4 linked regions of the Ovis aries genome follow. The protein of the gene in region 2 purifies or fractionates together with the protein of the main gene of each other region. This does not show direct contact. Links are inferred from orthologs where the notes say so. Each region holds a gene or a part of one and is shown on either strand. Other genes may lie near its edges. The genes, in order: AP3B2, AP3M1, RABL6 and AP3S2.

Region 1 (6,973 bases), on a different chromosome or scaffold from region 2:
AAATCACACATAGGAGTCCGCAGGCCATTTTGGTGAATGAGATTAGAGTGACGCAGTTTTGTCAAAAGGCTGTATGTGTGCGCGATGTGGGTGGCGTGTGTCTGTGGAGGCCATGTGTGGGTGTGCATGTCTAGATGAGGGTGTGGGGCGGTACAGAGGGCTTGTGGTGGGTGTCTGTAGGCGTTTGCAGGTGAGGCGTGTGGGTCCACAGGTGTGTGGCTTTATGTGCTGAGTGTTTTTGTGGGAAGGTATGTGTGGTATATGTGTCTTTGTATGTTTCTGTGGGGATTACGGGTGTGTCTGCAGGGGGTTTGTTGAGTGTGTGTGGGTTTATGTAAGAACTACATATATCTGAGGGATGTAAGTGTGTCTTTGGGGGTATGAGTATGTCTCTGGAGTGTAGGTGTCTCTGTGGGGACAGATGTGAGAGTATATTGGTGATACCAGTGTTTGATGCGGTGTTGGGGTGATGGGGATCTGCAGGGGTGAGTTGACTGTGTGGACGTGTGTACAAAGGATCCTGGGTGCGTGATGTGCATTTGTGTATTGGGGAAGATGGTGCCCAGTTCTGTCATTCTCCCCACGCCCTCCGTGCTGCCCAGGCCCAGCTAAATGGTCTGTACCTCTGTCTACACCCATCTGTCCTGAGTTCAGCATGCCTGGGACTTGACCACCTGGTTTGTGTTTGGGAGAGGGACGAGGTGGTTATCTTCTGACCCTCACTTGGCCATAGGCAGTAGAAAACGTCCTCTGGTTCGGGGGGACATCTTCCTGAATGGAAGCTGTTCATTCTGTTTTTTTGTTTTTTTTTTTTAACTGAAGTATAGTTGATTTACAATGCTGTGTTAGTTTCTGCTGTATAGCAAAATGATTTAGGGACACATACACACACAAACACACATACATATATTTTATTATATTTTTTTCATTTTCTTTTCCATTATGGTTGCTTTTTAGGATATTGAATCTAGTTCCCTGTGCTATACAGGAGGACCTTGTTGTTTATCTGTTTATATACGGTAGTTTGTATATGCTAATCCCAAACTCCTAACTTATCCTTCCTCCACTCCCTTTCCCCGTTGGTAACCGTAAACTTGTTCTCTGTGTCTGTGAGTCTGTTTCTGTTTCACAGATAAGTTCATTTGTGTCATATTTTAAATTCCACATATAAATGATATCACATGGTATTTCTCTGACTTACTTCACTTAGTATGATAACCTCTAGGTTCATCCATGTTACTGCAAATGGCATAATTTCATTCTTTTTTTTTATGGCTGAGTGGTATGGAGGGGTTCTAGATCAATATGCGTGGGACTGGACATCTTCTCCAACCCTCATCCGACAGCTAGCAAGTCCTCTGTGTTCTGGAAGTCATCATCTTTCTACTTTGCTTCCCATCAAAAATGTCTTCACAAGAAACACTTGTAAAATCCTGGGAACATCAGTTTCTTAGCACTCCTCCCGTCTTTTCTGATTTTATCTGTTAAGCACTCGCACATTTCTGCAAAACGCAGCCCTGTGACTAGGTGTCTGTTACGTCAGGTTCTTTCCTTCCTCTCAGCATTTATCACTTACTCATGTCTCAGCATCAGCACTAGTCACACTTGCCTCTTTATGGCCGTTAGCATGCTCTTCCCTCTCCTAGAATGGCTACGTCTATTTTCTGATTTTCTGTTGCTTCTAGGTGTTTCACTTCCATGACTAACTTTGCACACACTGCTGTTTAATTCCTGCCATTGGTAATACCTCTCCTGGCAGGGTCAAAGCTATGGGTTATCTGAGTATCATCTGGGAGGTCAGAGAATAGACAGGTCTCCATTCACAGCTGCTCATCGCATTTTGGAGCTGCCTGGACAGTATGAGCGCATCTGTGGTCCTGCCGCTCTGTTAGCTGTGTAGACACACATTTTCCATGAGGTGGTTTCGCGTTTCTCTGCCTACTTCTTCGGCCCTCAGCCGCTGGGCCTCTGGGTATGCTTGGGCAGGTTGTTCACTCCTCAAGGGCACATGGTCAGGGAGTGCCAGACCACGCTCCGCTCACCGACTGGGGAGCAGCTGCTCAGGGCTGTGTCCACCTGGAGGGGCAGGGGCATGGCAGGGGGCAGCCCTGCCAGTGAGTCCTGAATATAGACCCGAAGCTTGTATCAGTACTTTATTTTTAATGTTAAACTTGTATTCACCATATCCCAAATATTTTCCTTTCTGTTGCTATTGTGGGCTGAAGTGTGGTCTGATATGTTGAAGCCCTAACCCCCAGTACCTCAGAATGTGACTGTGTTTGGGGACAGTCTTTTAAGAGGTGATTAAGTGAAAAGGAGGTCATTAGGGCGGGTCCTAATCCAATACGATTCACTTATGATGAGAAGAGGAAACACAAAGGGAAGACCATGTAAAGATAAGGGAAGACAGTCATCTGCAAGTCAGGAAGACAGGCCAGCCCTGCTGACACCTTGATCTCAGACTTCTAGCCTCTGGAATTGCAAGAAAATACATTGAGGTGGTTAAGCCACCCAGTCACTCTGTGGTACTGTTACAGCAGCCCTAGGGAACAAATACAGTTTTGCCTTGTTTTTTTTTTTTCTTAAATTTAGTTTATACACAAGAGTTGAAAAAAAAAAAAACCTAGCATCTTATTACTGATAATTTTATGACCTTGAAAATTAAAATTTCCCCTCTTCCATACATTGAAATAATTTTTAAAAATGATTCATCTACTTTTGTCTCTGGTGGGGTCTTTGTTGCAGCACGCAGGCTTTCTCTGGTTGCGCGAGTGGGGGGCTATTTTTCACTGTTGTGTGCAGGCTGCTCATTATGGCTTCACTTGTGGAGCATAGACTCGAGACTCGCAGGCTTCAGTAGTTGCAGCTCATGTGTGCGGGCTGAGTAGTTCTGGCACATGAGTCTAGCTGCTCTGAGGCATGTGGGATCTTCCTAGACCAGGGATCGAACCCATGTCCTTTGCACTGCAAAGTGGATTCTTAACCACTAGACCACCAGGGAAACCCAACATAATTTAACTGTTAAACAAATGTGGGATTTATTTTGGTGTGAAGTACATGTGCAAGTTAAATTCTTTGCTACGTAGCAGTTGTCCCAACAGCATTTGTTTAAGGGGAGGCAAAAGTTTCTTTCTCCGATTGGTGTTAATTGTTCCTAATGTATCAACTTAGATCCATTTGTGAAATTTTTAATCTGGCACCACACAGCTTTTATCATGGTCATTTGTTTTGTGTTTTGAATTCTGGTTAGGTGAATTGTCTGTCATTGTTCCGTTTTTCTCATTTCCATCCCCTTTTGCCCCCAAATTCTCTGGAGTTCTCACCTATTGATTTTTGTTTCTGGATGAATTTTGCAGTCACTTCAGGAAGTCTAACAAAAGGCCTCCCTTGAAATTTCAATGGCCATTGCATGACATTTAGATACTGGCTTGGAGACTAACATTATTCCCCTCCACCAAGTGCAAGGGGTTATTTATTTACATCGTCGTTTACCCGGGACTTCCCTGGCAGTCCAGTAGTTAAGACTAAGCCTGCCAATGCAGGGAGTATGGGTTTGATCCCTGACTGGGGAGCTAAGATTTAACTTGCCTCTCAGCTGAAAACCAAACCTTAAGAGAGAAGCAATATTGCAGATGTTCCTTGGCTTGCAGGTGAGTCACTCCAGTTCTCTGTATCCACAGTATTCTCCCTGCATCTCTCTCTTCACAGGGCCATCTCCTTAAAGCACGCCAGACGTATTGAGTTAGAGACCCACCCTCCTCCAGTATTAGCTCATCGTAATTACAGCTGAAACAATTCTGTTTCCAAATAAGATTACATTCTGGGTACATTCTTTTTTGGGAGGATCACAGCTCAGCCCCGCAACATTGACTGACCCACATGCTTCTCCCCACCCTAAGTCCCCTGATCTGTATTTTACCACTTTCCTTTGTGGTCGAGTCCTGCCTTCCCTGCCCAGGTCCCTTCTTTCTGTCTGAATCCTACTGATTGATAGCCCTGTCCCCACCGTTGTGCCCTCAGCTGACCTTTTGTGTCCCCACCAGGCACGATGACCTGAAGGCGATGCTGGACACCAACAAGGATTCGCTCAAGCTGGAGGCCATGAAGAGAATTGTGGCGGTGAGGGGGGTCAGAGGGGATCCCTTGGGGGAGGAGCTTGCGGATCCAAGAGCCCTCCTTGGCTGCTTGTGGACCTTCCCCCAGTGAGTGCTGGCATCCTCCCTTCTTGTTCCCCCCCTACCCTGACCCCACCTCCTAGATGATTGCCCGGGGAAAGAACGCCTCAGACCTGTTCCCCGCCGTGGTGAAGAACGTGGCCTGTAAGAACATAGAGGTGAGCGCTACCAGGGAGGAGTCTCCCTCGTCCACCTCCAGGAATAAACCGGAGCTAGTTGGGGATGAGAAAGGGGACAGCCCAGTCCCTGGTCCAGGAAAAGACCCCTCCCAGATGTCCCTGAATCAGACGTGGATCAGCATGATGGGGCCAGGGTACCCTGGATGCTTTCCCTGTGGACCACAGCCACCCGGGGTGAGGACATCTCTCAGGACGGGGCCCCAGTCCCTGCTGAGAAACCCCCTCTTCCCCAGGTGAAGAAGCTTGTCTACGTGTACCTGGTGCGCTACGCTGAGGAGCAGCAAGACCTAGCCCTGCTGTCTATCTCCACCTTCCAGCGTGGCCTGAAGGTCAGAGGTCTCCATTTGCCTCCCTGGGGTCTGGGCCTTGATGGGGCTGTATTGGAGGTGTGGACTTATTCACAACCTAAAAGTTGAGAATTAGGTTTCATTAGGTGGGCGTTTTTAGGACTTCAAGCCTAGGAGGCAGCATCTAAGTAACCCTGACAGAACTGCTCCAAGGAGGTGAGGGGAGGAGTCAGGTTATATGGAAGTTTTGCAACAAAGGGCAGGTGGTCTAACATCAAAAGACAGTTGTTAATGAAAGAAAACCAGATAACCCGGGTTAAGGAGTTTGGTGCTTTTCTGTGTGTGGGAAGATGCGAGAGTCTGGGCTCACTGAAATCATTCCTTTGATGTGCACCGCAGCTATCTGCGGCCAGTATCCTGTGTTTTCATATCCTGAGTTTCTCCGGGCTCACCATGGGAAGTGGCTGCAGTCTGATGACTGCTAGATGGCCGGTGTTCTTTCTTCCTGAGGTCCCTCAGGGATCACCAGCTCACTGTCCATGGGGGCTGCAATTGCTGATGACTGTGACATCCTTTGTTTGTCGATAGGGCAGGAAATAAATTCCGTTTGTCAGAGGAGTGGGCCCAGGGAGAGGCCTGAGTGCAGGGGTTGGGGGGTGGGCGTCAGGCTCTGGAGGCCCTTTCCTACCTGGCTAAAGTCAGGAGAGTCAAAGGCGCCTGTGCTAATGGCTGCCTCAACTATGAATCACTTGAGCCCCTGACACTGGCCTTCACCCTACTGATGTAAAGGGATTGAGGCCCACAGCCAGGCAGAAGTCAGCCTTCTTAAGACAGAGTAATGTGTGGGGAGCCCGCTGACCTGGATTCCTCACCTCTCGGTGTCAGAGCCTTGGCACTGGCTGGCTCACCTGGTTTGAGTATCTGCTAGGAACAATGGCTTTGGAACCTTTTCACCTGAAACTGGGTGAGGAGGACAAAAGGGTTTATTGGAAACAAATGAGCTCCATGGAGAGGAAAACCACAAAGCTCACCAAGCTGGAGAGCAGCCTCAGACGTGGAGACTGGGTTTGACAGTCTGCAGAGAGAACATAAAGACAAGACCATTCCATTTTCAATAAGGTTAGTACAGCCAATGATTCCTTGAAAGTAGGAAGAAGTTGATTATTCGGTTTAGCCCCCGAAGAAATAATTGACTTGTCTTAGATGCCCCACTGGATGTAAAATATCCACCTTTAAAGACCTGGATCGGGACTTCCCTGCTGGTCCAGTGGTTAAGACTCTGCCTTCCCAATGCAGGGGACATGGATTCGATCCCTGTACTAAAAACTAAGATCCTGCATGCCCTATGGCGTGGCCTCAAAATTTAAAAAAAAAAAAAAATATATATATATATATATAAATTTTTTTTTTAAAGACCTGGATCACTTTTGTGGCAATAAAATGCTCTTTGAGGCAGGTAGAAACTGAATCACTTAAGGGAAGGGACAGTGGGAAGATTCAAGTCCTTTCGTATGCAGTGGAGGCTGACCCCTCACAAACACACACACACACATTTAAACTGAATATTCTCATCTTTTGTATGTTAGATGCATGCATGATAATCTCCACTGGGTGCTTTTGTCGTTAGGATAAGGTAACTCCAGGGTAAAGAAGTCAGCATCACTATCTTTCTATTCTTTGTCCAATCAGACTCTCCAGCTCTGATTACAGCCATTAACTCCTCTAGTCTTTCCACACGTTTAGTTCTAATTCCTGTGAGAGGGACATTGAAAGGTCTGACTCATCTTTTCCTGTTCAGCTGATTCTGTAGGTTAGCTGAGCAGACTGAGAGTTGACTGCCCAAACTGGGGGTTCACCCCTGGTTCATTCTGCTCTGGCGAGCAGGAGGTGATGGCAGAGTCTGCTCCTCTGAGGTGGGGCAGAAAGCCTGGGCGCGCATTTGTATCTACCATTCTTTCATTCAGCAAATACTTGGGTATCTCTGCTGCAGGAAGGGGGACCCCTTCCAGGGCCCGAAACTGGGCTCTTGTCTAACACTCAGAAGTGAATTGTCCGAGGAAATATATGTGCTGACAAAGCAAGAGATTTTATTGGGAAAGGGCACCCGGGTGGAGAGCAGTAGGGTAAGGGAACCCAGGGGAACAGCTCTGTCATATGACTTGCAGTCTCTGGTTTTATGGTGATGGGATTAGTTTCTGGGTTGTCTTTAGCCAATCATTCTGACTCAAGAGTCCTTCCTGGTGGTGCACGCCTTGTTCAGCCAAGATGGATGCCAGAGAGAAGGATTCTGGGAGGTGGTCGGACAGGTGGTGTCTCCTTTTGACCTTTCCCG
Region 2 (7,662 bases):
TTTCCAGGAAAAGTTTCCACCAAAGTTGTTTTTATTGGCACCGTCCAGGTCTCAGAAGAATAGAGTAAGTCAAACCACCATCTGGATTAACTGCTATTGTCCTGAGTGCTGATATGAAAGCATAGTACTTGCACCTTTCAACAGCGCGCAGCTTTAAAACCGACCTTAATCTTCTATTACAGGGAAAGAGAGCTTATTTCTTTTATCCATATTAAGACCAAGGGCCTAGTGCAAAAAACATATACTACATGCAGCTGTGTAAATTAAGTTGTTTCTTTAGCTTCTTATCCTTTGAGTAGCCGCAGTTACTTCTTCCATTATTTTAATAGACTTTCTGGGAAAGCTACCACAACTATCATTTTGTTCCTAGTGACTTCAGAGTCAGAAAACAGCATTCTCCCAGCTTATATTAAAGCCACTTAAGAAACTGTGTTTAGAGGCAGTTCCATCAGAGCTTCAATTGCAGCTTAAATATTTCATAAACCCTCTTCACTGAATGTTGAACACATGCAGCCTGATGATTCACAAACAATGCAATCACAATAGTCAAAATGAAGAGAGTGACTAAAAAAGAAAATGTATTCCTTCTGCACATAACAGAATGGAAGCACAGAAGGGCATGTATCTAAGGTGAGAGAATGAAACCAGAAAATATTTTAGTCATTCTGATTTTTAAACAATATTTGGACCATTGTTCATTCAACAAAGTTTTGTATGTTTTCTATATCAAGCAATGGGGATACAGTTGAATAAAACAGAGTCTCTGAACTCAAAGCATTCAGAGTTCAGCAAAGAAGGCAAACAATTTAATACAGTAAGATAACAGGGGAAAAACAGTGTGCTATAAAAGTCCACAAGGCTTCAAGGTGAGAAAGAACATAAGGTAAAGAAATCCAGTACAAATTTAGCAACTTCAGAAGGTGGATGGAGGTGGTGAGATAAAAATGGAGAAAAGCAGATATTGGTTCACTTTGTTCCCAGTGCAATGCAAAAAGTCATTTTTAAAATGGTTTTATGCAGGGGATTCATGCAATCCAATTTATAGTTTTAAGAAAGATCACACTATGGAAACTGGATAATTGGGCAATTGAATATTGTGACATTAGCTGAGAGATGACTTATGTGGTGGCCTACACTAGAGTGCTGACAATACAGATGAAGCAAAATGAAAAGGTAAGAGAAACATTTAGGGTTGAGAAAAGTTTTGGGGGTAGAGACGGGGCAGTGGACATGAGAGGGAAAAGGAGGAATTTAGTTCTGGTCCTATATAATCTGACCCAATTCCGGATATATTTGACCCCAATGGATATATTCAAAACACCACTGTATACAGAGGTCTGGTGCTTCAGAGGGAAGCCAAACTGGAGACAGATTTGTGAGTACTGTAACTATGATTTTTTATTAATGGAAATTATAACAAAAGGAGGCTAAAACTGCAAACAGAGAACGTATATAGTAGAAGAGAACCTAGAGAAAGAACTTCAACATTTGAGAAGCATATGGGTCAAGTCGGCCTACAAAAAGAGTGACAAAATGTGGCTGAAGATGGATAAGGAAAAAAAAGGGGGCAGAGTTTTTAGTAACTAGAGTATGTCAGTCAGTGTGTTTCCAGAACAATGGAGCGGTAAACATTTTAAATGGCACAAAGAGGTCAAGCTATAAGAAAAACTTAAAATATCTGTTATTTTACAGTGTTCCTCAACTTTTTTTTTCATTATTGCATCTGAAGAGGCCTTTTCAGAACCCCATTCATTATTAATTCCCCATTCCTCCATAAAATTATTAAAATCATAGAATATTTCTGTACACCTCTTTATGTACCATAAATATCTGTGCTTTATACATAAAAAGTATGATTTTTTTTTCCTCATAAGAAGCAAATTTTGTCCCTGATGAGAATGTACAATTTAGAGGCTATTGGTGATCTCAGTGAAAGAAGTTTCATTGTAGCTCAGTGGAACAGTGGCAAAAAGATATACTACAGTGGGCTGAAAAGGACATAGCAAGAAATGGGAAAAACAGAGATAAGGAGAGTAGATGATACAGTCAAAAACTATAGCTGTGAAGGAGATAAAAAGGCAAGAAAATAAAGGGGAATAGTTCATAAAGTTAAGGAAGGATATTTTTAAATGCTGAAGGAAAAATGTGAGTAGAAGGGAGGCTGATGATGTAGGAGAGAGGGAATAAGTTAAGGAACTCTGAGAAGGTAGGGGAGGATGGCACTGGGAAACTCAGTGAAAGCATGTGTCTTTCCTAAGGAGAAGGGGCACTTTCCCTTCTTTAAACAAAAGGAAAGCAGATTTGTATACTTGGTTGCAAGATGATGGCTTCTATTTTCTCTGTCCAAAAGAAGAAAAGGTCATTTGTTGAGAAAGTGAATTTCTCCTCTCTACAAATACCATTTGTTATGTGTGAAGAGCTACTTAAATATATCTAGTCTGCAGGGAACTCCAACAGTCTATTATGTTGACTGTTTAGAAACCCTGTAAAATCCTAAGATTCAGTAAGAAAAGCTAAACCTTGTTGCCAAGAGAGCTTCCCAACTAAAGGGATATTAGGATTCCGGTAATTTTTCTCTCATCTCAATCCTCTACTTTTCCTATGGTTCATCTGAAAGTGTCCTCTGTCCTTTGCAACAGTAATCCTTTCACCTCTAATTCTGATCCCATCCCCTCTCCTCTCTTCCAAGGTCTTACTTCTTCTTTCTTGAATCTTTAATCTTATACATTAGTTACTTGCTCATAAAGTGCCTTGTATCCTTTAAAGCAAACAAACCCCAAACATTTTAGGGAGCTTGCAAACAATTTTTCTCTTCATGCTCCACATGAAGAAGCATTGGTCTACACTTGCAGTCTCTCCTCTCAATAACTGACTCTTATTAAAGCAGTTCTTGGAAATGACCCAATGCCTTCTTAATCATCAATTCCAACAACCTATTCTCAGACTTCAACTTCCTCCTTTGATCCTTGCAGCATTTCATGTCGCTGTTAGGTGTCTGCCAAACAAAACAAATACTTCTTACCAAATTATATGAAACTTCACCTGTTTTGGTTCTCACCTGGAAAGTTTCTTTCTGGTTTGCTTATCAGAATGTTTTTTTTTTTTCAACCTTTCATCTCCATCTAAACTACTATCTCAAAATGGATATAGCCCAAGTCCTACAAAATTCCTCCTTCTCATGTGGTGTTGTTTAGTTGCTAAGTCCTGTCCGACTCTTTTGCGACCTCATGGAACTGTGTAGCCCGCCAGGCTCCTCTGTCCATGGGATTTCTCAGGCAAGAATAATGGTGGGTTGCCATTTTTTCCTGACCCAGGGATCGAACCCGGGTCTCCTGCATTGGCAGACAGATTCTTTACCACTGAGCCACTTGGGAAACCCTTCTCAGGTGAAGACTACTAATTTGAAACAAGTATCAACAAGTCTTCCCTGTAGCTCAAAGGGTTAAGAATTCTCCTGCAATGCAGGAGACCACGGTTCCATTCCTGGATCAGGAAGATCCTCTGGCGAAGGGAATGGCAATCCACTCCAGGATTCTTGCCTGGAAAATCCCATGGACAGAGGAGACTGGGGGGTTCGTGGGGTCGCAAAGAGTCGGACACGACTGAGCAACTACTACTACACTATCAACTTCTTAATCAAGCTCCAACTTCAACCCAAATCCAACTGTCACCTCCTCAGTTTAGATTCCTATTAACTCATTTTTGAAGAACTGCAACACCCTTCTCACCGTATTCCCCGAGGCTCATCCAGGTGCCACCCTCTAACAGGAGGCCCGCTCGCGTCAGCTAGGGATTTTGTCCTCCAAAGCAGAAGCCTGGGGTTGAGGTCCGAGCTGTTGGTACTCCAGCTCTCCGTGCGTGACAAGACCTTTTTCCCGCGCCGAAGCACGACGAGCGACCCCAATGAGCCTGAACCTCTTGAGCTTGAGGTCTGAAAACACTGGGCTGTTAGGTGCACCGTTCCCTTCCGGCCTAGCTGGCAAGAAGAACCGGAAGGCCGGGAGGAAGGCGCGGCTTCGGTTCACAGCACCAGAGGCGCTTCCACACCCCTGGCTGGAAGCCGGAGCTCTAGCTACTCAGTCTACTTCCCAGCTTTCGTGATGTCCCCTGTCCGTAGACCACCCCTCTCTCCCCCGCCCTCACACTCACCCCGGCTCCTGGGCCCGTCAGTGATTAGACGCGAGGTCCTCTCCGGACCGAGGCTGAGACAGCTGAGAAAGCCGCGAGGACCCTGCAGTTGGGATGCCCAGTAGATTGCCTGAGTAACAGCATCAATATAACCAATAGTTTTGGGAAGAGTAAACGAGCGGGAAGACGCTGAATGAGAAGACGTCTTTCGAATTTTAGGATATCATCTTCTGAATCATCCAGGTCTAGAAGAATGGGAGCGTTCACCTCTTTTGGACTCAGGCGCTCATCTGCAGCCTAAACCAGTCTGGGGTGTCCCTGGAGTTGAGCGCGCGGGGTCTGGAAGAGCTGCGTACCAGCCAATGGGTAAGGCCAAGAGGTAGGGCCAAAAGACTGGGGCTGGGAGAGGCACGAACTGGGAGGAGCCAAAGGGGCGGGGCTTAGTGACAAGGAGGCGGTGATGCGGCCAGGGGGCGGGGAGAGGGAGCCGAAGGGGTGGGGCGAGCCGTGGCGCGTAAGTGAGGTGGGAGCGCGAAGATGGCAGCGGCTGAGGAGGAGCCAAAGCCCAAAAAGCTGAAGGTGGAGGCGCCTCCAGCGCTGAGGTGAGCCCTACCTGACATAGGGTGGAGGGCGACGATGCCTGCCGCTAGCCAGGGGCCACGTAGGGTTGCGCGACAGAGGCGCTGGGTGGTAACCTCAACCCCCGGCATGAGGCCAACGCACGGGACGGGTAGCTCTGGTAGTTGCCCGCGGGGCTGCGACCCTTTGCCCGCTGTCCGTCCAGTCTGGCCCAGTCGCCGCAGGCTCCTGAGACGCTCCGCCGCCCTTGACCAATCAGAGCGCCGGCCGGGGTGCGGAGCCGGCTTTGGGCAGGCTGCCGGCGCCACGTGGGAGCCCGCCCCCACTTGGCTGTGCGACCCGGGAGGACCGGACCGGACCCGATCTGAGCCGAGTCAACCGCGGTCACCTCCTCTTCCCTGGGAGATGACGAGGAGAATGCCCAGCGACTGGCCTACCCTGAGGCAAAGATAGAATTCTTGGGTATTTTTCGTAAAGGTCGCGGAAGGGCGCTTTGACCTTCCTTTTAGCACTTAGGTAGATCTGAATGCTGGTACCTTTGCAAATCCTCTACCGGGAACCAAGACCCCGCCTCCGAGGCTTTGCTGGAGTGGGGTCGGGGGCGTGGGGATGGCGTTTGCCAAAATGGTTAGGAAAGGTTAATTTTTCTTCTTTGCACATTTGGCAGCAGTGGAGATAGTTCCGCACCTAACATATGATTTGATGTTGCAACTTTTACTTACAAAACGTTACTGGTTAAAATATTCGTTTCTGATAAGTATAAAGTGGAGTATGCACGTTTCTGGATGATTTTGCAATGCTCTTTGGAAGGCAGTGGGTTTTCTATGTAAAGCTAGATATATAAAACTGATTTAAAACTATTGGGACACTCCTGATTATACAAATTTAGTTTCTTCCAACATGACCCTTCTTCACTTTTGAAAGAACTAATCTTTCATGTTTGAAAAGATCACTTAGGAGTCCGGTGGTCTGTTCACGCTGTTTTCAATGGATAATTATGAAATCCCTGCCAGTATCTTTAATATATTCATATTACCTTCAAAGGGCCAAAGTGTTAGTGTGCCTACCTTATATAAAGAAAATAAACTTTTTTTTCTCCCCCACGACTCAGGTTGTCTGTTTTCGTTTTAAGCTTTCAAACTACAGACTAAAGCAAAGGCTTTTAAGTCAGACCTACCTGAATTTGAGTTGTTAGGAGAAGCAAACTGAAACCGCCCACCCTGGCCAGGCACTGTAATAACCATTTGCCATGAGTTATTTTACCATATGAGGTCATGGTAAGGGACACGGAATTAACAAGCCACCATTAACCAGATGTATTTGGGAAGGGTTAAAAGGAGGCATCATGTGTCCAACCATCTCCCAGAATCTTTCTCACTGGCATCCATCTTGGCTAAACGGTGCCTGTTCCACCAGGAAGGACCCTGAATCAGAAAGATTGGCCAAAGACAACCCGAAAACTAATCCATCACCTAAAACTTCAGACTTCAAGAAACTGTGACAGAGCAGTTCTCCTGGGTTGTGTTAACCTACTGCTCTCCGGCAGGCGTCCCTTTCCAATAAAGTCCCTTGCTTGGTCAGCATGTGTGTCTCCTTAGATAATTCATTTCTGAGTGTTAGACAGGAGCCCACTTTTGGGCCCTGGAAGGGGTCCCCCTTCCTGCAAGAAAGGCATATGCTTTCCTTGAAAAGCACCTTCTTAACAAAGTTTCCTGTACCAAATTGGAAGACAGCTCCAACTTTTCCCCCTCCTATCCTACTGAAGATGCAGCCCTTAGATTTTTCTCTTCTGCTCCTCCATTTTCAAAGTGCTTTCCTGTTTTACAGATGAGAAAATGGAAGCCCAGATGAAACAATAAAGGAACTGAAGTTTGAACAGAAAGAATCTGGGTGCAAGTTCATTGTTATTTGACTTTACTATACCTACTTTTATACAGTCACCCAAGATATGCTTCTCTCTGACTATGCAGCCTTAAAAATAATCATAAAAAATAATGTTTAATATGTATTGTTTCAGCATTTTGCCTATTTTAACTCATTCAATCCCACAACCACCCTTCAAGGTAGACACTATATGTCCATTTTACCAAGGAGGAAACAGGTATAGAGAAGTTAAGTTAACTTTATCGAGGTCAACTTTATTAACTTCACATTTTGATCAAAAGCCCTAGTGAACTATTAACTCAGCTTTTGTTTTTTGTTTTGTTTTTTGGTCACTGTGTATAATTTGTTGTTGTAATACATGAGCATATGATACTTAATAATTCTTAAACGTGTATAATGTTATTTTACGTGTCATTAGTGTCTGTCTACCTAAAACTTGAAATGGCAACCCCCTCCAGTGTTCTTGCCTGGAGAATCCCAGGGACGGGGGAGCCTGGTAGGCTGCCATCTATGGGGTCGCACAGAGTTGGACACGACTGAAACGACTTAGCAGCAGCAGCAGCAGTGATTGTCTACCTAAAACTTGTAAGTCTTTACTAAGTGTAGACATGAAGGTAGGATTAGACACTTGAGTACTGGAATAAATCTCTTCATTTTGTGTGAAGGCCTTTTGTGATTGGCTATTCGTACTTTCATTATATTCATTTGTCTTTAAGGATCTCGGTGTGATAATGTACTGAGTGGTTAGATTGTGTGCCTTATTTACGATGACTTGCTTGACATTTAAGAGGCTAGCTACCAGTTTTGGTTAACTTTTAAGAGGATGGCTTATAAAGGCTGTTGTTCAGTCATCAAGTTGTGTCTGACTCTTCATGACCCCATGGACTGCAGCACACCAGGCTTCCCTGTTCCTCACTATCTCCTGGAGTTTTCTCAAACTCATGTCCATTGAGTTGGTGATATTATCTAACTATCTTATCCTCTGTCACCCCCTTCTCCTCCTACACAGGAAGCCTCCCAAACAAAAAATTATCCAGGCAAAAGTGACAATAATGTGGAGGTTGTAAAAAC
Region 3 (7,631 bases), on a different chromosome or scaffold from region 2:
AATAAACAAACAGACCTGGTTTCATCTGGTTAAAAAAAGTAACTGATCTCTACTTCTAAGTAAAAAAGTCAAATCAATCTTAGAAACTTAGACATCACTCAAATAAATCAAGTGACTCACTGGAAACCCTTTAATTAAGACTCACCCGGAAGTGGCAAGAAGCCTTCCCCGAGAAGCGCGCGGGCGTCTTCCTGAGCAGAACCCCTGCATTTCTTTCTGTCCCTTTTATTCTAAGGGAAGAGCGCCGCAGGCAGGATCGGCTAAGGGCCGCAGAGTCTCTTCTACTCCCTGATTCTATAGTAACTTACTCAGACTGCCACACACTGCAAGCGAAACAGGGAACCTTTTTTCCAAAATAGGAAAGAAAGCTTCCGGTTTACCCTGGATGGGAACGACGCGTTCCTCGGCAGGAGGCAGGACTGGAACCCGACGGTGCCCTTCGGTGGCGCCGCCAGCAGGGGTCGCTGGACAGCCGGCCCCTCCTTCCGGCAGCGCCTGCCAACACAGCCTCCAGGGTCTCTCTTCGCGGGGCCCCTGGGATGGGGGATGGCGCGAAAGCCTTGGCCCCACGCTTCTCTCCGGACCTCACCGCACTGTGACCCGCCCTCGGCCCTCCTCCGTGGGGCCGGCGCTAACCTTCCGCCTAGCAGTCTCAGCCAGTCCCACGTGCTTAATTCCTCGGCGTGTCTTGTGCCCGCTGCCTGCCTTCCACTCTCCCCTGAAAGGTAAGCCCCGAAATGCAGAGACTGCGGTCTGGGTTTTCACTGATGAACGCTCGGTAAATATCTGCTAAGCAGATGAATGCCAGGGAAGGAAAACCTAGGAAGGAAAGCGTGGCGCACGCCACGGGCAGCAAATGCTCAGGGACCTGCAGGTCAGCCCTGCTGGGGCAGGCCCGACAGTCTGCCAGACGCAGCTGCTTATTTCCGAAAGGAAACGCGCTCTCATCCCGTGACCAACCTGTCAAGGCGCTGAGTTCTAGCACTGAAATCTGACTGGCCAGGACTCTGAATGCAGCCCCGAGCGAGGGCGCAGGACCGACAAGGCCAGTGCACCTCACCCCACCAAGCACAGCTGACCGCCCGGGCCCACCAGGGGCAGAAAGGGCAGACAGCTCAGGGAGCACCCTGCCACTTTACACGCGAATGGCTTCTGACCCGCAGATACGGTCCCGTGTCTCACCTGGGTTTCGATTCTAACTGTGATGTGTATGCTGGGACTGTGCATCTGAGTCACTCCTCACCATCACAGCAATCTGCATGAAACGACTTATCTGCTGCACGAGAACAAAGTTCTATGAGAGCTCTTCACCCATAAAAATCCTGAGTCCGTAGTTATCATATGGCTGCGGTGCTTCCTTAAGTAAGATGTTTCGGAAAATACAGACTAGAAATGTTCTTTTCTGCTGACTAATAAAGGAAATAAAAAAAAGTTTGAAAAGCGCGTACTGGCCCACGACAGGGGCAGCATCAGCCTGAAAGGCCACCCGGGCACAGGGCTCGGTTTCTCTCAGCCGCTCTGCATTTCACTCACTTTGCTCCACCTCAGAATCTGCTGCCGCGCACCCCCCAGTACCTGAAGTGGGGGCTCTTCTCTGGAAGGACGCCAGTGTCCTTTCTGCTTCTGACCCACCCCCCAACCCCAACCAGGGGGCATGTCCACCAGGGAGGGCTTTTCAGGTGAACACTTTCCAGGCCAGTTTCCAAAGGAGTAAGATTAAGTTTTAACAAATACTACCATAACTAATAAAATTAAGCAGAGACATTACTTTGTCAATAAAGGTCCGTCTAGTCAAGGCTATGGTTTTCCAGTGGTCATGTATGGATGTGAGAGTTGGACTATAAAGAAAGCTGAGCGCCGAAGAATTGATGCTTTTGAACTGTGGTGTTGCAGAAGACTCTTGAGAGTCCCTTGGACTGCAAGGAGATGCAACCAGTCCATCCTAAAGGAGATCAGTCCTGGGTGTTCATTGGAAGGACTGATGTTGAAGCTGAAGCTCCAATACTTTGGCCACCTGATGCGAACAGATGACTTATCTGAAAAGACCCTGATGCTGGGAAAGATTGAAGGCGGGAGGAGAAGGGGACGACAGAGGATGAGATGGTTGGATGGCATCACTGACTCAATGGACATGAGTCTGAGTAAACTCCAGGAGTTGGTGATGGACAGGGAGGCCTGGCGTGCGGGAGTCCATGGGGTTGCAAAGAGTCGGACACGACTGAGCAACTGAACTGAATTGAATAAAATTAAATAACAGGAACCAAATGTGAATTATAAGACGTGAAAATGAGGTGTTTTTTAAAACAAATATTTATTTACTTTTGGCTGTGTCGGTCCTAACTGTGGCCCATAGGCTGTCTCTGCGGCACAGGCCTCTCTCTGGCTGGGGTGTGGGGGCTCACTGGTGGTGGCCGTGGGCTTAGCTGCTCCTGGGCGTGTGGGATCTGAGTTCCCCGACCAGGGGTCGAACCTGTGTCCCCTGCACTGGAAGGTGGAAGCTTAATCCACTGAACCACCAGGGAAGTCCCTGAAAAGGAGTATTTTGATTTACTATTCTCTTCTGGGAATGTGAGAGAATCACACACAAAATTGGGTAGAATACCTGCAAAACGATTCCTCTTTTAAGTTCAAAGTCTTTGCAATCAGTTTCTTAACATGGCACATTGTTAACTGAAATACAGGGGTCATCACAGAGACTGGCAGGCTCCCCTGAAAGTCGGAAATGGGGGAATGTCCGGTATCTTGTAGCAATATACAGAAATACTCCAGAGGGAAAGATTTAGAAGCAGAGAACACATTAAAACAAACAAACAAACAACTTCAAATACCGCTACGGAAAAGCCAGCAAGATGGAAAAACTTTAAAGAGGTCAAGAGGGCAGTCAGCGTCTAGGAGCTTAAACAGTTTTACATAATTTATAGCTGAGGACTGGAAACGATCTGGGCTTTCAGGCCATCGGGTAAGTAACTCCTTCCCACAGGAGAAGAGAAGTCTCCGCAGTAACAAGGGTCTGTTCCTTCTGGAGCCCTTCTAAATATATCTCTTACAAATGCTTCTTTTTTTAAAAAGGGGAGCAAGAACGAGCGGCGCAGCTGACATTCTCTCTTCAAACCGAATACCAAGTCTACAAAGAAAAACCCCGTAGGTCAAACTAGCAGGCCAGCGGAATCCCCCGCTCCGTCCTCCGGCGGGTGGCCACACGGCTCGCGGGCGGAGAGCCCGCCACCCCTTTAAGACCCGGTCACAGACCACAGACTCGCCCGCGTTACGTAAGAACTCCTCTCAGACGCGGTCACCTGGGCCAGCCAGGGTGCCGCAGACGCGCCAGGGGCCGCCTGGACCAACCGCGCCGTGCACACGGGACGCACGCCGGTCGCCCCCGGGCCCGCCTTCCTGCGGAGTGACCCACAGGCCAGACGGCAGAGCCGCGGGCGAGGCCCCGGCCCCCGGTCCTGCGCTGCCCTGGGCCCTCCTCGGCGGGCCGCGTCCCCTCCCGACCCCAAGGGAGCGCCCCGGCGCCCCCGCCATCCGCGCAGGCACAGGCAAGGGCTCGGCTCGCCGGAACGCGGAGCGCAAGGCCCTCGGGGTGCGACGAGCGCCCGGGCGCTGCCCGGATTCGGCGAGTCCCGGGCGGCGCGGCCGGGCCCCCACCCACCCCACACGCCCCGCAGGCGCCCCCGCGCCGGGCCGCACTCACTGTTGTACTGCACCCCCTTGGCGAAGCGCCTCTGCAGCGCCTGGTTCATGGACTGCAGCCCGGCCGGGATGTTCCTGTCGCGGCCCGGGGCCTGCTCCGACCCCACCAGCTTCTTGAGCGCGGAGAACATCTTCCTGCTCCCACGTCCGAGCCCGGTACGGCCCGCGAGCTCAGCGGCGGCGGCGGCGCGGCGCTAGTCGCACCATGTCCCGGGGTCCGGCGGGCGGACGCCGGCCTGCAGGGCAGCTCGGGGGCTCAGCTGCGGAGGCTCCGCTCCGGCCCCCACGGCCCCCGGCGCGGCCGCTCTGTGCTCGTCAGCGCCGCCATCTTGACGCCGGCTCAGCGGGGCGCGCACTACGGGGCGCCGCGAGGGCCACGGGGGTGCAGCGCGCGTGCGTAGAGCGCTGCGGGCGCGGGGCGTGCGGCTACGGGGCGCCGCGAGGGCCACGGGAGTGCGGCTCGCGAGGTGCGGATGCGCAGAATGCTGCGGGCGCGGGGCGCGCGGGTACCGGGCACCGCGAGGGTTACGGGAGGGCGGCGCGGTGCGGGCAAAGGGCCTGACTCTGCAGTCCCGCCTTACGAGTTTGTCCCCCGGATTTCAGCTCAGTCCGGATCCCCGTCCGTGCCCCGGCCTGGACCCTCCTACTCACCCTCGCCCCTGAATCCCAGAGCCCAGACCCACACCGAGCATCCCACTCCCCTGCACACTTCCCCACGTGATGCCCTGCATCCGCGTCCCCTCGGCGCCCCGAAGTCCTGGAAAACTGTTTATTTGTGTAGCCAATGCAAGCGTGGGGGCGGGGTGTGGGGCGGGGCGGCCTCCTCCTCCTCCGGTCACTTCTTCTTCTTCTTGGCCGCCTTGAGCTTCTCCTCCATCAGCCGCTGACCCTGCCTCTTGATCTCGGCCCGCGAGGGCACGTAACTGTGGTCCACGTCGGCGAACTGGAAGGTCTCTGCAAGGAAGGAGGGGGAGGGCAGCCGCGCCCGTAAGCCCCTCTGCCCCGCCTGTGTCCCCAGATCCTGGGCTGTCCTCCGGCGCCCTTTCACGGCAGGGCCCGTTGTACCAACGACCTGTATTTCTTACTCTCTGTCTGGCGTTTGGGGTCTCGCACACTCGGGGAGAGAGACAGCCCAGGGTTCCCCCAGTTCTTCCGGAGCCCACACTCGACTGCTAATATCTACCCTATACGCCAAGCCTGAATCCCTCAGGGCCAGGTGCCAGACAAGAGGAGGACAGCCCGGAGGCCGCAAACGCCCCAGAATTTTTAGAATGGAAGGGTCTTAAACTGTGTGCCCTGCTCTGCCCTTCCCACACAGACCCCCGTAGGGGCCCTGGCCTAGGTCCCCCTGCCTGCCTACTGGCACTGGTGCCTTGTCATCACCTCCATCGGTTAAAATCCCGTGGGTGCAGCTGACGCGGCCTCCCCATTGCTTTAGCCCCCACTGTCCCTCCAGGCCACCCTGGTCGTATGCAGCTAGTGCCACCCCTCGCCCCTGCCTCTACACAGCTCAGGCCGGCCACCCGCCCCCGCCTCCTCTCCAGCTGCTGGGCCTCCTGTACCTATGACGTCCTCCTCCGTCTCCTCAAAGCTGATCCTGGTGTTCTGCTTCTCCTTCAGGGTAGAGGACTCCAGCATATCCCTCACCTTGTTGTTGACCTGCAGGGCACGGGGCCAGTGAGCCTTGGGGCAGGTGGGGCGTGCAGGCACCCCTGGCCCAGGGCTACCTCCTCCGTTCCAGCCAGCGTCTGCACTCGGTCAGCCAGGTATAGCAGCCTCCCCTCGCAGTACGCCAGCTTGCTGTACATGTCCAGGGTGGTCGAGGGCGCTGCTTCCTTCTGTAGCGGCGAGGAACCAGTTGTCTCGCCCTGGCCCCTCCCAGGGACCCTCTGTGCTGGGGGCTCCTCCCAGCTCCGCTGGTACCTGGCCGGTGGGCAGCGGGATGCCAATCAGGCGGATGTAGAGGTTGTCGATGCCGGTCTGGATGGTCAGCAGCAGCTTCTGGCTCGTGGCCATCTTGCTGTGAGCCAGCTTCAGCCGCTCTTCCTCCTCCTTCAGCATATCGTTCATTTTCTTCTCGACGGACTTGAAGCTGTTGAGGATGAGGGTGGGAGGTGGCAGACCGAGGGCGCAGCGGCGGGGTCCAGAGCAAGTGCTGTGCTAATTTGGGCTCAAGAGCTAAGACGCGGGGGGCGCCCTTGCCAGGCCCTGAGGCAGCGAGCCTGCTCAGCTCCAAGCCTGGTGCTGTCAGTGCAGAGAGAGGCGGGACCACCCGCGTACCTGATGGAGCTGGGCGTCTGGCGGAACTTGAGCGTGGCCTCCTCTATCTCCAGCCTCTTCATCAAGGCGTCCAGCTGCGCCCGCCTCTCCTCACAGTCCTCCTTCTGCTGCTCCAGATCCTCCTCCGTGCCCTTCTGAGCCAGGAACCGGCCGGCAATGTCCTGGCAGGGCCAGTGGGGTGAGCAGCAGCTGTGAGCCGGGAGGCAGCTGGTTCTGGCCCCCAGTGGTCAGTAGCGTCGACCGCGGCAGTGTGTGGAGGGCCCGCGAGGCCCTCGGTGTGTGTTCTTGCACGCCGCCCTCACGACAGGCAGAGCGGGCAGACGACCCCAACGGAGAGCCGGAGCGACCACCGCCAAGAGGCCGAGTGGCTCTGAGTCGCTTGTCCGAGGGGGCATAAGCTTATGTCAGGACCATGGACAGGAGCTCAAGGTTTGCTAATAATAATCTCAGAGCGGATTAAAGTAAAAGGGGGGTCAGGTGGAGAGGCAGCTGCTGTTGGTTTGGGAAGGGGAAGGAGTCGGAGGTGGAGGCCACCCCCTCGGGGTTTAATCTTCAACTTCCCGTGGGCTCTGTGTGACCCTGGACCACAGCTCAGGTTTGCTGGCTGCGTCCCAGGAGGCCCTCCACTCTGATCTGTGGCTGCTTTGTGTGTCCATTCACGTGAAGGTGTCTGCAGAGCCTGGCCGGGCTCGGCCGGGCCTTGGGCTGGGGACGGGTCCCTCCCCTGCCCCTCTGCCCACACCCAGGAGTCAGGGAGTAGTACCCAGAGGTGGGAGCACTGCACAGCAGTCTTGACCTTCTCCACCAGAGCAGTCACATTTGTTTCGTATTCGACGTCAGCCTTGGAGGCCTCTCTCTTCCTCACTGGGTGCAGCAGAGGGGAAGGATAGCCAGCGGGCAGGGAGGGCATGGGAGCTCTGTGTGGGCCGTCAGATGCCCCCCACGTCCTCAGGGGAGGCCACCCAAGAGCTGGGTACCCTTCAGAGTCGCCTCTGTCTTAACTGGCTCCCTCCTCGGCCAGCCCTCGAGTGGCTCCATCCAGAGGAGAACCAGAAGCGGCTGGTGCGGCAGGGCTTAGTGGAGCTTCTCAGAGGGGCTTGGGTTCCGGGGGGGCCATTGCTGAGTGCATTTTACAGCTGAGAGGCGGGGTGCGGGGGTGGGGTTGGCCACACCTGGCCGAGAGCCCAGAGCCAGTAGCAGCAGCTCGAAGCGAGTGCTGCGGCCACTGGTGTGTGCCTGTGCGCGTCCCGCCAGGGAGGGGTTGGGGCTCAGCAGTCTCCCTCACCCTGGCCACTGCAGGTAATGCCCAGCCTCATGGTGGCCGGCCTCTCCGGACCTTGGCTGGGGCGGTGGGAGCTGAGCTCTTACCTTTCAGAGTTTCCGGACCCATCAGGTTGGAGGGGAAGTCCAAGTCCCGCCGGCCCTGGAGACAGGGAGGAGGTGGCGTGGTGAGGGGTGTCCTTGGCGGGGCTGAGGAGCTGGGGGCCCCGGAGGGCGGTGCCCAGACAGCCCGGCTCACCCGGCGGTACTTCTCGCTGGTCTCCTTGGTGTGGATCTTGTCGATCAGCTTCTTCTGCTGGTTCAACCGGTTCTCTCGTGCCCGGCGCTCCTCGATGAAGGTGGCCTCCCCTTGCCTCATGTTCATCTGGGGACAC
Region 4 (6,973 bases), on a different chromosome or scaffold from region 2:
GAATGGTTTTTACTACTTTAAAAGTTATGCAACCATCACCACAATTTTAGAATATTTTCATTATCCCCAAAAGGAATCCCTACCCATTAGCAATTATTCTGTATTTCCTCCTCAATTTCCCTAGTCTTAGGCAACCAATGATGTGTTTTCTCTCTCTCTAAATTTGCCTGTTCTGGACATTTCATGTAAAATGGAATCATACAATATGTGGGTTTTTGTTACTGACTTCTTTCTTTTAGTATAATGTTTTTGAGGTTCGTCCATGTTTTAGTGTTACCAGTTCTTTATTCCTTTTTATTGCCAAGTTACATTCCATAGATAGGTTTCCCAGGTGGTGCTAGTGATAAAGAACCTGCCTGCCTATGCAGGAGACATAAGAGACCTGGGTTCAGTGACTGGGTGGGGAAGATCCCCTGGAGGAGGAAATGGCAACCCACTCCAGTATTCTTGCCTGGGAAATCCCATGGATGGAGGAGCCTGGTGGGCTACTGTCCACAGGGTTGTATTGAGAGGCTAGTAAAGTAACTTGGCACATATCGCATTGAGTGGATCTATCACATTTTGATTATCCATTCATCAGATGCTGTTTCTACCTCTGGCTCTTGTGAATAATTCTGCTATAAACATTCATGTACAAGCTTTTTGTGTGAGTGTGTACTTTCATTTCTCTTGGGTATGTCTCGGAGTAGAATTACTGAGTCACATAGTGACTTTGTAGTGGTCATTTGGATGAACTGCCAAACTGCTTTCTAAAGTGGCTATACCATTTTACATTCCTATCAACAATATATAAGAAGTACAGCTTGGGACTTCCCTGATGGTCCAGAGGTTGAGAATCTGCCTTCCAATGTAGGGGACTCAGGTTGAATCCTTGATTGGGGTCTAAGATCCCATGTGCCCTGGGGCAACTAAGCCCATACCGCAACTACTGAGCCTGTAGGCTGCAACTAAGACTCAACGCAGCCAAAAATAAATATTTTTTTAAATTCTAATTTTTCTGCCTCTCTGTCAGCATTTTCTATTATCGTTTTGATCAGAGACATTTTAGTAGGTGTTAAGTAGATTCTCCTTGTGGTTTTGGTTTTTTCTAATGACTGATTTTTTTCGTCCCCTTACTGACATTTGTATGTCTTCTTTGGAGAGCGTAGGATTTTTAAGAACTAAATTAGCTCCTTAGTGAAAATAACCTTGGAAACTGCAAAGTACTAAAAGATATGAAGGATTATGAAAATCACTGACAGATGTAAGCATTTGGTAATTTACTATTTTGTTGAATTAGAAATTAGGTAGCCTCACCATTTCATACTGCTTACCCACTGACTACCATCACTTCCCGGTACAGTCAGATAAAAGACTATAGTTTTCAAGAATTTTTTTGGTTTAAAAATGCTGGTGCTTAGCGTGTTTTGTATTTCTGGGTACACAGAGTTAAACATTTACAGCATCCTGGCATCTGTGAACTTTGTGAGTTCTTTTAAATGGAAACCAAAAAATAGTGATTGATTTACTTAAACTTACAGTGACCAGTTATTAGCAAGTTTTTATTATTCATCCATTCATTAAATATGGAGAGCCACTGTGTACCTGTGTAAGTCAAAGTTATGAAAAGTAATTGCTCCACAATGATGTTTCCTCTTTTTTCTTCTGTTTCTTTTAAATAACCAACCACTTCTAGCCTAAATTCAGTGCTCTAGAGGGAAAGGGGTTAATGTTACTTGAGTTTATTTTCTGACTCTGAGGGTAAGTCCAGTCTGATGGTTTTCTTAAGCTTTGCTACTCAAAATGGTTCTCAGATCAGCAGCGTTCTTATTACCTGGAAACTTGTTAGAACTGCAGTCTCAGGACCTACCCCAGACCTACTAAATTAGCCTGCATTTTAACAGTATTTCTAGGTGATTCATTATTCAAACTCACTGAGTTGTTGTTGTTGCTTTTTTTTGGCTGAGACATCTCGCTTGAGATATCTTAGTTCCCCTGCCAGAGACTGAACCTGTGTCCTTGGCAGTGAAAGCGCAGAGTCCTAACCACTGGACTGCTGGGAAAATCCCATTATACATTGAGATTTGAGAGCACTAGTCTAGAGCTTTTAATTTTGTCTTTTTTTTTTTGGCCAAGAGACATGTGGGATCTTAGTTCCTCAACTAGGGATTTGAATCCACACCCCTAGCAGTGGAAGTGCAGAGTCTTAACCACAAGACTGCCAGGGAAGTCCCTGTTTTTGTTTTAATAACTGATTTCTCCATATCTTTTTTTTTAACATACTTAATATGAACCTCTTATGTATAAATAGAAATCAAATGTGGGTCATCAAGAGATCCCATCACATTTGAGCTTTCTGGTGTGTAGTAAGTGAATAGTAAGTGAAAAAAGCTATTTATAGTTCTGCAATTGTTCAAGATTCAAATCTCTCAATAGAATATTTTCTGCTTTCTCAGTAGTACTTTGTTGGTCACACAGCATCTTATATATAATGTCTGTATTACTGGTATTCAGTTCAGTTTAGTCGCTCAGTTGTTTCCAACTCTGCAACCCCATGGACTGCAGCATGCCAGGCTTCCCTGTCCATCACCAGCTCCCAGAGCTTGCTCAAATTCATGTCCATCAAGTCGGTGATGCCATCCAACTATCTCATCCTCTGTCGTCCCCTTCTCCTCCTGCCTTCAGTCTTTCTCAGCATCAGGGTCTTTTCCAGTGAGTCAGTTCTTCGCATCAGGTGGCCAAAGTATTGGAGTTTCAGCTTCAGCATCAGTCCTCCTAATGAATATTCAGGATTGATTTCTTTTAGGATTGACTGATTTGATCTCCTTGCGGTCCAAGGGGCTCTCATGTAGGTTTTTAAAACATGTACATGATTACATCTTGACTTCCTTACAGTGGTAGATCTATTGACATTTGTTATTTGTCCTGGCATAGATGTTTTCTCGGAGAAGGCAATGGCACCCCACTCCAGTACTCTTGCCTGAAAAATCCCATGGGTGGAGGAGCCTGGTGGGCTGTAGTCAATGGGGTCGCGAAGAGTCGGACACGACTGAGCGACTTCACTTTCATTTTTCACTTTCATGCACTGGAGAAGGAAATGGCAACCCACTCCAGTGTTCTTGCCTGGAGAATCCCAGGGACGGGGAAGCCTGGTGGGCTGCCATCTATGGGGTTGCACAGAGTTGGACACGACTGAAGTGACTCAGCAGCAGATGTTTTCTAGAGTAATATAAAATGTTTCAGGATTGTGCCTTCTAGGTATTCTTTAACCTTGTATGAGAATTCTTTGACATTGTATGAGAAATATCAGCTCACCTAGCAAGACAGTAATGGTTAGGGACTAGATATCTAGGTAAATATACCCTATTCTGTTTCCTGTAACAGAGCCTTTTCCATTTTCTATAGCTTCTCCTTGTATTTTTCGTTTACTCATCATTTCTGTCTTTTCAAGAAGCTGGTACCAAGTGTTCAGATCATTCCTGTTTGGAAGGGATATAGTTTTTCAGACTTTTCCACTGACTCGCTTTATTTCTTTTATTCCATAGCCAGAAGAAATTCAGCAGCAGATTGTTCGAGAGACCTTTCATCTAGTTCTCAAGCGGGATGACAACATCTGTAACTTCTTGGAGGGTGGAAGGTAAATCATCAGTTTTCTCCCCATATACCAGTTTCGGGTGGCCTTTATCATGCCATTATTGCTTCTTCAGGCAGTGCTTAAGTGTCTGGTGAGTATCTGATGCAGTTGAGCTGAGCTGATCATAGTCTGCTCAGGGAGAGACTCAGCTCTGTTTGGGAAGCTATTAAATGATTGTGCTTCAGATATTTATATGTTTGGTTCCTGGGAGGATGCTGCTGTTCAGTCACTTCAGTCGTGTCCAACTCTGTGCAACCCCGTAGACGGCAGCCCACCAGGCTCCCCCGTCCCTGGGATTCTCCAGGCAAGAACACTGGAGTGAGTTGCCATTTCCTTCTCCAATGCATGAAAGTGAAAACTGAAAGTGAAGTCGCTCAGTTGTGTCCGACTCTTTGCGACCCCATGGATTGCAACCTACCAGGCTCCTCCACCCATGGGATTTTCCAGGCAAGAGTACTGGAGTGGGGTGCCATTGCCTTCTCCATCCTGGGAGGATGGGTAGAAGAAAAAATGAAGCAAAATGGCTTTAGGCACCTCTGCCAAATTTGGTTGTCCTTCAGCTGGTGGAGATGGCCTATTGTTTGGCCTACCCTGCTGCTTTCTTTTGGGCCCGTTTTCATTCCTTGGCACAGAGCTTCTCTTTGATATGTTCAGTTCAAATACAAGCTTTTAAATGTTTCCCGTCTTCCACAGTTTGATTGGTGGCTCTGACTACAAACTGATTTATCGGCATTATGCTACCCTCTACTTTGTATTTTGTGTGGATTCCTCAGAGAGTGAACTTGGGATCTTGGACCTCATCCAGGTATGTGTAGCAGGTAATGATGGTAGCCACTTCAGAAAGTTTGGTCTGGATTTTTAGTAGCTAAAAATCTGTAGTAGCTAAAAATTTTTTATCTGTATGTAGATCCTTAAGTCAGTCTCTTTATCGATACTGGTAAACATTGCTGCATGTCCACCAGGTGGTGCTGTGAGAAAGCTCCTTAGCAGCCCTCAACCATTCTTAGCGCTTTTAGGTTCTCTGCTTCTCCAGCTCACTGCCTTTGGCTTTCTTTTGAGTCTGACACCAATTCCTGTATGTATACTCCCCCCACCCCGCACCTGAAGCAAGTAACTCAGTTCTCCATGGACACTCACCAGGGGTCCCCCAAATTTACCCAGTTCTGACACTTATCTACCTGAAGATGGACATTGACGTCAGGTCTGGGTTGTCTGTCGCCTGTGCATTTGACTGACAGCCTGTAGATTGACTAGGCCCAAGATTGCCTCCTCACATGATTTCCTCCTCAGGTTCAGTTAATTTGCTAGAGTGGCTCACAGAACTTTATAGAGAAACATTTTACTCTCTGCTACCTTAATGTGAAAAGATATAACTTAGGAACAGTCAGATGGAAGAGATGCATAGCACAGGGCAGGGGAAAAAGGGTGTGGAGCTTCTGTGCCCTCTCCAAGCGTGCCACCCTCCTCAAATCTCCACGTTTACTAACATAGAAGCTCTGAAACCTATCCCTTTTGGGTTTTATGGAGGCCTCTTTACATAGGCATGATTGATTGTATCATTGCCCATTGGTGATTGATTGAGTCTGCATCCCCTCTCCCCTCCCAGAGATCAGTAAGTGGGACTCAGAGTTCCCAGTCATACAGTTGGTTCCCATGGCAACCAGCCCCTATTCTTTGATGCTTTCCAAAAGTTAACCTTATTAGCAGAACAAGGCAACCCTATCACTTTGGAAATTCCAAGGTTTTTAGGAGCCAGCAACAAGGATGAATACCAAATACTTGTCATTATAAATTATACCATCATGTCACGTTTTGAAATTTTTTTTCAAGTATCAAACTAAATGATATTTTAAAATACATACTTTATATTTTCACTTGTAATTCTAGCCTGAAACAAAGGAACTTGATGTTTTGTCTAATACGTACAGTCTTGACATAGGTAAACATGATTTTTTAAGGCTTTTTGAAAATTAGAAATGGCTTACAGATTTGTTTTCATTACTTTCATGGAAATTGAGGTATGTGGGACCCTGTACTGGGAACCATTAATTAGGACAATTCCATTATTTGGTACATGATATTCTGGATAGACTTTGTGTGACTTCAGCAAGTCACTTAAGTTGAAAGCACTCAAAAAGAGCATGTGTAAAACCTAATAACACCAATTATAGAAAACTCCAGCTATAAAATATAAACTTTACTTCTTTACAACTATATTTTGTTAAGATAAAATTAAAGAAGCTAAATTTAATAAACTTTAGGATAAAGAAATGGAAATTTTGAATGTGTATTTTTATTTTACATATACTGTACTCTTCCAAAAAGTTATATTCTTAGATATAGCAAATTTTCATTTTATTTATATATTTTACGCATTCACATTCAGAAAATGATTTAGTATTAGTTTAGAAAGTTCAGGTATCATATTCACTTATCATATATAAAAGTATAAATAAATACTGGAAATAGCCAAAAGGGACTCATCTCTGTGGTAGTTTTAAATGCTTTCTTAACACCCGAGTCAGATTGGGTATTGAGAGTCAGTGTGGTGTAACAGAAAGAGTTCAAGATCTAGAATCAGAAAACCTGGGTGTGAGTCATGGATCCCCCATCTGGTATAGAAATGTTAGGTTGTAAAGATGGAAACAGACTTGCAGAGAACAAATGGATGTTTGTCAGGGATGGAGCATGGAGGTGGAGGGCAGCACAGGCAACGGGGACTGAGAGTGCAGACCTCTGGGTGTCAAACAGATGAGCCTGGGATATAGTATACAACTTAAGGAATGTGGCCCATAATATTGCAATAACTGTGTTTGGGAACAGATGGTTACTAGTCTTATTGTGTTGATTGTATCGTAATATATGCAAATGTCAAATCACTATATAGTATATCTGAAGCTAACATCATGTTGTATGTCAACTATATTTCAACTAAAAAAATCCAAAATACTATGTTGTAGAATTCAATTGTGACAATGTATTAAGCATTTTACGCTATAGAATGCTATAGGAATGTGCATGTAACACGTGTATTAGAAAATAAATGAAATATAGCGGTCATCTATTTTTTAAATTGAGATGCAGTTTTTGGAGGAGATGCACTTCAGATATCTATGTTAACAAGACAAAGAGAAATGTAACTTTATAATATTATGGACATTTATTAAATACTTAGGGTGTATTGGATTTGGGAAGATGGATAAAAAGTGAAAATAATAGGAAGTAGGAGGTTTGATCTTTTAAAAGACAATAAAATCAATAGTTATCCTAATAAAAAGAGAATAAAAGTCAGAAAAAGAAACCATCAAAATGTTTTTAGAGGTTGAAATACATAGTTATAATGTCAATGTATTTGACATA

The links.
Region 1: the proteins of AP3M1 (region 2) and AP3B2 purify together in Homo sapiens (co-immunoprecipitation; 3 studies listed by BioGRID and IntAct, counting the BioPlex papers as one, with this or other methods). This does not show direct contact. The link is inferred for Ovis aries from reciprocal best matches to the Homo sapiens genes AP3M1 and AP3B2.
Region 3: the proteins of AP3M1 (region 2) and RABL6 purify together in Homo sapiens (co-immunoprecipitation; 3 studies listed by BioGRID and IntAct, counting the BioPlex papers as one, with this or other methods). This does not show direct contact. The link is inferred for Ovis aries from reciprocal best matches to the Homo sapiens genes AP3M1 and RABL6.
Region 4: the proteins of AP3M1 (region 2) and AP3S2 purify together in Homo sapiens (co-immunoprecipitation; 3 studies listed by BioGRID and IntAct, counting the BioPlex papers as one, with this or other methods). This does not show direct contact. The link is inferred for Ovis aries from reciprocal best matches to the Homo sapiens genes AP3M1 and AP3S2.

What each region holds. Positions count from the first base shown.
Region 1 is NC_056071.1:22,311,178-22,318,150, reverse strand, and holds part of AP3B2 (AP-3 complex subunit beta-2), read left to right. Parts: intron 1-4,043; coding exon 4,044-4,119; intron 4,120-4,258; coding exon 4,259-4,333; intron 4,334-4,587; coding exon 4,588-4,683; intron 4,684-6,973.
Region 2 is NC_056078.1:29,224,245-29,231,906, forward strand, and holds the start of AP3M1 (AP-3 complex subunit mu-1), read right to left. Parts: upstream 4,916-7,662; 5' UTR 4,742-4,915; intron 4,731-4,741; coding exon of another isoform or gene 4,666-4,730; exon of another isoform or gene 4,645-4,665; intron 4,191-4,644; exon of another isoform or gene 3,729-4,190; intron 1-3,728. Other genes in the region: ADK (adenosine kinase), read left to right, coding at 4,666-4,730. UniProt on the Homo sapiens protein: Part of the AP-3 complex, an adaptor-related complex which is not clathrin-associated. The complex is associated with the Golgi region as well as more peripheral structures.
Region 3 is NC_056056.1:1,047,325-1,054,955, forward strand, and holds the start of RABL6 (rab-like protein 6), read right to left. Parts: upstream 4,028-7,631; 5' UTR 3,828-4,027; coding exon 3,698-3,827; intron 3,439-3,697; exon of another isoform or gene 1,183-3,438; intron 1-1,182. Other genes in the region: CCDC183 (coiled-coil domain-containing protein 183), read right to left, coding at 4,532-4,650, 5,259-5,355, 5,424-5,534, 5,620-5,788, 5,977-6,137, 6,740-6,840, 7,345-7,399, 7,496-7,621. UniProt on the Homo sapiens protein: May enhance cellular proliferation. May reduce growth inhibitory activity of CDKN2A.
Region 4 is NC_056071.1:20,605,465-20,612,437, reverse strand, and holds part of AP3S2 (AP-3 complex subunit sigma-2), read left to right. Parts: intron 1-3,524; coding exon 3,525-3,616; intron 3,617-4,306; coding exon 4,307-4,418; intron 4,419-6,973. UniProt on the Homo sapiens protein: Part of the AP-3 complex, an adaptor-related complex which is not clathrin-associated. The complex is associated with the Golgi region as well as more peripheral structures.